2 linked regions of the Rattus norvegicus genome follow. The protein of the gene in region 1 interacts with the protein of each later gene in a pairwise test. Links are inferred from orthologs where the notes say so. Each region holds a gene or a part of one and is shown on either strand. Other genes may lie near its edges.

Region 1 (4,369 bases):
GTGTGGTGGCAAATGTCTTAACTCCTAGCAATTGGCCAGCCTGTGCTACATAAAACTACATAGGGTGTTCTAGGCCAGACAGGGCAATACAATGAGAGCTTGTTTCAAAATTAAAATAAAAAATAAATTAACATTTGCAGACCCCTAAAATTATTTACAATTTGGCTATATTAGCTGTTCCGAGGAAAGAGAACCAAGAGGCAGGCAGAGGTGGGGAACTTTTTCACAACACAGTCTTAAACATTTTTGTTTTTTGTTTTTTTTTCTACAAATGTATGACTTAATTTGAAAACAAATGAAATTCAAATTGAAAACAATCTGGAGATTCCGAAGCGGCAGAAGACCTCATGGCTCAGCGGCTCCCAGCCAGCACCCAGGCCTCAGAGCCACAGTGTTTCTGGATTGGAGCTGCCCCTCAAACTGCACGTTCACGTCAGCACGTTATGAGCAGCAGCAGAGCCGTTACGCAGCACCCTTCCCAGACACGGCCTTCCTAAGGCCCATAGGGACATGTAGGGGCCAAAGATATTAGCTGACATCAGGAAGTGACTTAGCTCTCAGGGCTCCTGCAGCACTGAAGGTCTCCACACACACTCTTCTAAAAAGCTGGCTGAGCTACGGTGATGAGAGCAGCTGCAGCACCTGAGTCTACAGGGCTGCAGTGATACTGTCTGTCTGCATCAGCGACTGGCAGACAGTCTCTCTCTGCACGCTTGGTATTCTACAGGCAGAGGTTCTGAGCCATCGCTGAGTTGGCTCCTCGTATTATGCTCCCCTGCTCTAAGGACAGAGTTAGCTGAGGCACCTCTTGGAGTGACAGCTTCACACTCAGGTACTTCGACAATGACACCATCTGCATTATCTCCAGATACTTAAGCTTGAGGGAAAAGGGATCGGCAGACTGACATGCCAGCAAATACAGAAGCCACAAGGAACACACTGTTGAGAGAAGGGACAGGGAAGTCATTCCCACAGTGTAGGAAGCACTTCCACATGGGAGAACAAGATAAGAATAAGTGAGCATGCCAAGCCATACCAGTGTAAGGCAGCAGCCAACATCCCCAGAACTAACCAGCCCCACAGACATGGCCACAGGACTGACAGACACACACACTGGGCCTGCTGACAATGTCCCCATGACTTTGGCCACGCCTCCACTGTGCTCTCATAGCATCCACATGAGCCCAGCTCGGTGTGGTTTGGAACTAATAAAACATAATCTATATAGGCCACTGCTGGACCTCTGTGCTCACAGCACTTTACTAACGTCTGTTCATTCCCTTTGGGCTTTTTCTTATGTTACCTATACATATCCTAACTCCTACATTTCCTGTATACATCCTAACTGTCTCGGCAAAAATCAAAAGAGAATGAACATATTCTTTTAAATGATAATAAATTCCTGGTTAAAGTGTGCCCCCCACCACCCACCGACTCCTTACAGCACACAGAGCAGACTTAATATATTATTACCATTGTCTCTTCTCTGCTGATTACACCTTCCCTAATGGTTAGTACAGTTCCAAATTCAAGTTCTTGCTAAGTACTAATAACGATTTAATTTAATGATTGAAATATCTTATAAAATAAAAAAGGCCCACCCTAACCTTGAACAATGTATTATGTTCAAGTTTCATAATTCAACGCGTGGTTTAGAACCCAGGGGCCTCACTAATCGATTGCTAGTCCAGAATGTAACTGCTTAGAGATACTTCAATTGTATTTAATAAGACTTGGGTTTTACAGGTCCTGTTAGTTGTAATCTCACTGGCTTGACTCTCCTTTCTAGTATCGTTCACTGGTGGCTGCCAGAAGCTGAACAAGGCCTTTAAAAGTTCTGAGACCTACATACCACCCAGGCTGGGGTTGGCATACCCACTTATTGTTGTGGCTTGCCAGAGAAGGGAAAGGGCCTGTATCTGGGGAGAAAGGTCAGAGTCCCAAGGGATCCTGAGGTGTAGCACATAGTCTTACCGCATCAAACTCTGCTTGATCATCCTCAGGTAGGTCGCTGGTTTCATAAACATCTGGCTCGTTCCTGGCCTGCAGGGAGAAGCAGGGATCACCCAGACTCATTTCCCAGCATTCCTCTCTTATCCCATTTCCTTTGAACAAGGTACTGGAAAACCACACTGTATCTCAAAGATTCTGTCCTCCACCTCCCCTGTCAACTGTATGTTGGTTCCCTTCTCTCGGTGGGGTGACCACAGGTACATAGTGGGACCTGGGATAAAATGACCAGTGTTAAAGAAAGATGTTACCCTGAACACTGCTGAGAGGCTAGTCCTTGCTAATCATTTTGTCCTAGTCTGGAGTGAGGGTTCCTTGAGTTAGGCCCTGCACATCACTATGCAAGGGTTGAGAGTGACTCAGGACCTTAGTTCTCAAGGTCCTGTATACCAACCTCCCAACCCTGAGAATGCAGAGAGGGCAGCACGAACAGAGGATACATGCCGGCTTGTGTATGAGGAGCAAGCACACAGGCGCACGCAATGCACAGATCTCCCTGGCAAGAAGGCCATCAAGTGGCCTGGTGAGTATGGCTGGAGTACGGATGCGGGGGCGGGCAATCGGGAAATTTGGGGCGACAAGAGCACTGTTGACATGGACGGTACAAACACTCGGGCACAAGTGGTAAGCGCCTGGAAGTGATTTCTGGGCGGAGAAACCCGCTACTGCCAGAGAGGGGGCCCGACACGGTCCAACGGCCGGCCCAGCCGGCTCTGGAGTCCAGAAGGTGCTGCGGCCGTCCAAGGGCGAGCGGCGGGAACCCTTGGGGCGAAAGGCCTGCCAGCGGGAGGGGTCGCGGGCTGGTTTCTGTTAGGGATCCTCGGGAGGTCGGGGGCGCGGTCTGGGGAGCCGGGCCCGGCCCTGTACTCACAATGCCGGGGAGATCGGCGTATTTAGGGTCCGCCATGGCGGCGGCGAAGCGGGGCTGGGGGAACCGGGGCCTTGGAGGAGCCGGGCCGGTGACCGAGTGGGGGAGAGGCTGGGTCCGGGTCCCCGGCTAGGCGACGATAAGGGGAGCGGCGGAGGAGCAGGAAGTCTCGCGACAGGAGCAGGCCGGCAGGAGGGGACCGCAAAAGTCGCGAGGATAGCCGGCTACCACACCCCTGGACAGGCTGGGATTGGTGAGAGCGACAGTGAATGAGGTAATGGCGAGGAGACGCCGCCTAGCATTGTGGGATATGTAGTCCTGGTCTTCTGGGGCTTGGGCTGGCAGTGACAATAACAACCTTAGGGAGCTATTACATACATTTTATCTCTTTTCGTCTTTAATAGTCTATGAAAGGAGTTTCATAATTCCTGCCGTAGATAACCTGGAAATTGACTAGATGAAACCACACAGCCTGCCACGGCATGCTGTTTACAGAAAGATTTTATAAAAATGTAAAGAATGGAAAAGTAAGGCCGTCTTTGCAGTTAGAGCTTCTGGAAAAAATAGAGGATCCTTAAGTAAATTTTAATTTCAGGAGCTGGAGAGATGTCTAAGGGGTTAAGAGCACGGCCCTCTTGCAGAAGACCTGTGTTCTGTATAACTCCCCGGTACCAAGTGCCCTCTTCTGGCCTCTGAGGACACCAGACACACATGCAGACAAACACGCAGACACATAAAATAAATAATAATAATTTTTAAAAAATTAACTTCAGGTGGACCACTAACAATTGTTAGTATAAGCACGCTTCTTATTATTATACTTCTGATATACATATAATAATCTGAAAACCAAGTTTATCTGAGTGTGCTATTTCTTTTTTTCCAAAATTCTGGACATCTTAAATGGAAAAGTCCGGGCTCACAGTCTGACTGAATGCTCCATGATGGTCATCAATTCATTAATAGTTCCCCAGAAATTAGGAGGGAGGAATTTACACAGGTCTCAAACTTTAGTTCAGGGTGGCCTGGGACTCACTTTTCAGTGCTGGGGATTAAACTCAGGACCTTGCATAGTAGCTTTGTGTCCAGATCAACAACAAATCTTTCTGGAGGAGAGACATGGTATAGGTAATCTTCTTACTTTGCTTATGCCGTTGCCTGACAATAGAAACCCCAATTTGATTTAATTTAATTTATTTCTTTGTGTGTTGTGTGTGCACACACATGCATGTGGAGATCAGCGGGCAACTGTTATTCATCTGTTTTCTCTTCCCACCAGGGGGGTCCTGCAGATCAAATTCAGGTGTTTGGAAAACCCCTTTGCCTGCTGAGCCATCTCACTGGCTCACTTCTGAAACAAAAGAAAAGGCTGGGTGTGGTGGCACATGCCTGATCTAGGGAGTCCCAGAATCTCTATGTAGCTCCAGCTGTCTCGAAACAAGAGCAGAAGAGGAGAAGGAGGAGGGGGTTTGGGGGTGCGATGGGAGGTGG
Region 2 (4,362 bases), on another chromosome or scaffold:
TGGGGACATAGCACTTAGGGATTAAAAGGAAAGTTGTCTCCAATAAGTGAACTAGAAAAATCAACCTATCAATTTTCCATTAAGATTAAGAGAATTGGAAAATATTTTGTCCACAAGAATAAACACTTAAGGATGCAAAAGTCACATGTACTTCTGCAAAATTTACCTCTCTAACTGCCCAGTGACCTCAATATAAGCACTGTTAGGAATGCAAACCATTTCACCATTTCACCATTTCACCACTCTTGGTGACTAGTAGGTTCAGGCAATGTTTTCGTATTTATTGAATAAGCTCACAAAAAAAGGGGGTTTTGAACTATGCAGTAAAAGTTTACATTAAAAATTGTTTTTAATTTGTAACTCCTGCTTACAGTTATAAAGGTTTGCCTTCTACCTACAAGTTGCTATGTCTCAAAGGTGAAATTTTAGCACATGGCTAAAATGAACTATAGTTACAGCTTCATGATTCAGAGTGAGATCATAGGCAACAGAAGGCAGTGTCATACTCTGTGATGGGAAGTCTAGGGGGCATCATGAGCATCTCGAATTTAGACTGTGGTTACTCTGAATATCACAGAATTTGTCTCTTAGCTCTTACTTGATTAGAAGGAGCCTTCTTCAGGAAAGGTTTTAAGAACGGTGAGCTTGGCTCGTTAGACATGTGATCACCAGCTTACAAGGAGTGGGGCAGAAATTTCACCAGCTTTTTGTGGAAAAGATTCCAACTCGGTACTGTGCCATCACTACACACAAATGTGCTTTTTTTTTCCTCCCTGGAGTTTCAAATTCTCACAACCAACCAAAACCAAATCAAACCAGCCATCAGGGCACCAAAAGAATACTACTGGGAATAAGCAGCTTAACCTGTAACTTGCATATAAACACTCTGAAGCAAGCTTTGCCTGGTACGTCTGAACACTTAAAAATATGCTTACTAATAACAACTAGACTAGAGTGCATTAACCCCTGGAAATAAATTTTAAAAAGCAGTCCCTTAACACAAAAGAACACGAAACGACAATCAAAAGATGTCCACAACCAGAGAAACAATTGGCAGGCTGTTTCAGTCAGAGCTGAGGACACTTGAACCACTCCAAAAGCCCTCTGCACCAGATGGCTTCACAAACTGTCTAGAGCTGGCTCCGGACCCCACCAACCGGCTTTCTGCACCACCTTCGTGCCAGGGGCTCCCTCCCGCATAGCTCCGCCCCCTTCCGCTCAACTCTGCCTAGCTTGGTGGAGCTAGCGTCAGAGTGTCAAAGTCTGCTAATTTGCATGACCCAATGACCTGGCTGCATGTAAATGAGGCTAGCCGTGGTTGGCTGAGGGCTAGCCCCATATCTCCGGATCGGACCCTTTGTCCTCCAGTGGCCCCGAGGCAGCTGTGCAGTGTTCCCCAGCGAGGCTAAGCAAGAAGCCGGCGAGAGCAGAGACGCGAGGGTGGGAGCCAGCGCAGAGCCGGCGCCGGGCACTGTGGGGGCCAGGAGCAGCCCGCGCGCCGCGTGAGGGACTCGCACTTGCAATATGACTTTGGAGGAATTCTCGGCCGCAGAGCAGAAGATCGAAAGGTAAGTGTGCCTGCGGACTCGGTGGCCGCCACCCCTACGGCTTCGCGGCCCGGAACCCTACTGACCCGCTCTCGCCCTGCGATCTGCAGGATGGACACGGTGGGCGATGCCCTGGAGGAAGTGCTCAGCAAGGCTCGGAGTCAGCGCACCATAACTGTCGGCGTGTACGAGGCAGCCAAGCTGCTCAACGTGTAAGTGGCCCCGGCCACCCGCGCCCCCCGCCTCCCGCTTACCCACCCGCTTCTACCCCGCGCTCCCCGGAGCTTGTACACTCACCGTTGCCCACTGTCTGTAGAGACCCGGACAACGTGGTCCTGTGCCTGCTGGCTGCGGATGAAGATGACGACCGGGACGTGGCTCTGCAGATCCATTTCACCCTCATTCGTGCTTTCTGTTGCGAGAACGACATCAACATCCTGCGGGTCAGCAACCCGGGTCGGCTGGCAGAGCTGTTGCTACTGGAGAACGACAAGAGCCCCGCTGAGAGCGGGGGCGCTGCGCAGACCCCGGACTTACACTGTGTGCTGGTGACGGTAAGAGACCAGGGGCTGCAGCTCAGAATCTGCTGGGGTGGACCTTGTCCGAGCTGGACGCTGATCTCGCGGGGGTTCTGATACTGTGAGGAGCGTGTCTAAGCTCATGGGTGGCCTCCAGCGGCGGATGATATCAGTGAGTCAGCAGGCTACCCAGCTACCCCTGCCTACCTCTGCACTAGCTCGTGTGACTAATTCTTTGAGCAGAACAGATTAGATAAAGCCACATTAAGTTCCCGGTTCACCCTTCGTTAAGAAGTCAGCTTCATTCTTCATTTGCTGTCAAAGCTAAAGATAGAAGTCGTGTAGGAGACAGACCTTATTAACTCCCTGGATATAGATACTCTGTGAAGTGTACGGAGTGGAATTCTTTTCTTTGCTGCTCTTGAGTTTGTTTAAACGAGCCCTCTCCACCCTCCTCCCCACCGCTTAAAAATGTGTGGTGGGTGGATAGTGTTTTCAGAAAGAAATGTGCTGCTGTCTCGGTCTTCTGGTTTTTTGTTTTTGTACTCTTTTGACTTGTGTAGGGAAGTGGTAGCCTGATTATTTGTGCTGCCAGTGAAAAGTGCTATTCATTGTCAGGAAAGATAAAAGAGTTCAGCTGCCCTCCCTGCAGCTCTCACGGTGCACACAGCCTGAGAATGTTTTTCAGAAGTATTTTACTTATGACTCCACCAGGGTACGTGCTTGGAAGGGCAGTCTTGAGAATGATAACTTCATGAAGAGTGGGGTAGTTAATATGCAAAACTGTGTGGCTCAGTGTGCATTACAGGTGTTTAGACTTGGCCAAACGCTGTTTGGCAGAATGTTTGGGGTTTGGCCCTTTCAAAAGTAGTACAGCTAGTAGCATACGCTGATCATATTATGGGGAAGTAATTTTTCTAAATCTGTTCTCAGAACCCACATTCATCACAATGGAAGGATCCTGCCTTAAGTCAACTTATTTGTTTTTGCCGGGAAAGTCGCTACATGGATCAGTGGGTGCCAGTGATTAATCTCCCCGAACGGTGATTCCCCGAACGGTGATGGCATCTGAATGGAAATAACTGAACCAAATTGCACTGAAGTTTTGAAATACCTTTGTAGTTACTCAAGCAGTCACTCCCCACGCTGATGCAAGGATTACAGAAACTGATGTCAAGGGGCTGAGTTCAACTACAGGAGGGCTAGGAGATGACTTTGCAGAAGGAGAGAGAGGTGAGACTGAAGGAGGAAGCTGTGTGGAAACAGAAATCCAAGTCAAAAGGGACAAAAAAACTACAAAGAACTGTGCAAGAAAGAAAACTATTAATTTAGGATGGCCGGGTTACAGTAAAGTAAACCAAATATTGCTTTGTTGAAACTTTAAATGTGTAGCAATATTTTGGGTATTTTTTTTGGTCTTCATGCCCTCAAATAAAAGAAAAGTGAAAAGGGTTAATCATATTTTCAAGCCACAGTTTAATGTATTTTGATGAGATGTTAAATTCTCAGAAGTTTTATTATAAATCGTACTAAGTTATTTTATGATGTGAAAGGTTATTTATGATAAAACGTTTTTGAAGCACATTATCTAAAATAAACTGGTATGGAATAACTGTGTCGTTTCTCAATGTGTGGTATGTGTTTTCCAACATGGACTCTTATCAGACTTTGTATTGAAACTTTGCTTTAAAGCCACCAGGCAGAAAGATGGGTGATGGTAGAGGGTTTGGGTAAGGGCAAAGGGAATATGGAGAAAGAGTCACCTTGCAAAGTCTGAATTACAATGAATTATTAAAATGCTATAATTAATTGCATGCAAAACATAGAAGCAGAGAGGAGGGTTACCAAAGCTGCTTGAAGATAAGTGAAGCTTTTACTGAGGGGAAAAAAATCATCTTATTGGAGGCTTAAGAAATGAGCTTAGTTTCTCTAGGTAGAGACAGGGAAAGGGTATTGCTAACAGCTACAAAAGTTTGTGCAATGGTGCAGGCATGAAAGATCAGAGCCCGCAGAGAGACCTGCAAGGGTGACGCTGCGTGCCTCTGGTGTAGGGAGATAAGTGAGAGAGAGGGTTGGAAAGGTGGGGGTTCGACTCAGATGCTGACAGGAGTTCTTACATCACCATTATGTATTCGAGCTTCCTTCTGTGAACTTGCCACAGTCTGCAGAAGGAAGTGACATGGTCAGTGTTGTAGGTAGATAACATGGGAGGTAAGGGGTAGTTAATAGGGTGAATAGCTGTAGTTCCCAGTGTAAGGTAGTGAGAATGTTTTGTAGAACCATGACAAAGGGCAGGT

Evidence for each region.
Region 2: the proteins of Dctn2 (region 1) and Gadd45a interact in binary tests that used the Homo sapiens proteins (3 or more experiments, as listed by UniProt). The link is inferred for Rattus norvegicus from reciprocal best matches to the Homo sapiens genes DCTN2 and GADD45A.

What each region holds. Positions count from the first base shown.
Region 1 is NC_086025.1:64,976,124-64,980,492, reverse strand, and holds the start of Dctn2 (dynactin subunit 2), read right to left. Parts: upstream 3,028-4,369; 5' UTR 2,918-3,027; coding exon 2,882-2,917; intron 2,044-2,881; coding exon 1,975-2,043; intron 1-1,974. UniProt on the Homo sapiens protein: Part of the dynactin complex that activates the molecular motor dynein for ultra-processive transport along microtubules. In the dynactin soulder domain, binds the ACTR1A filament and acts as a molecular ruler to determine the length.
Region 2 is NC_086022.1:97,483,812-97,488,173, reverse strand, and holds Gadd45a (growth arrest and DNA damage-inducible protein GADD45 alpha), read left to right. Parts: upstream 1-1,374; 5' UTR 1,375-1,524; coding exon 1,525-1,568; intron 1,569-1,657; coding exon 1,658-1,759; intron 1,760-1,844; exon of another isoform or gene 1,845-1,863; coding exon 1,864-2,101; intron 2,102-2,998; coding exon 2,999-3,112; 3' UTR 3,113-3,677; downstream 3,678-4,362. UniProt on the Homo sapiens protein: In T-cells, functions as a regulator of p38 MAPKs by inhibiting p88 phosphorylation and activity.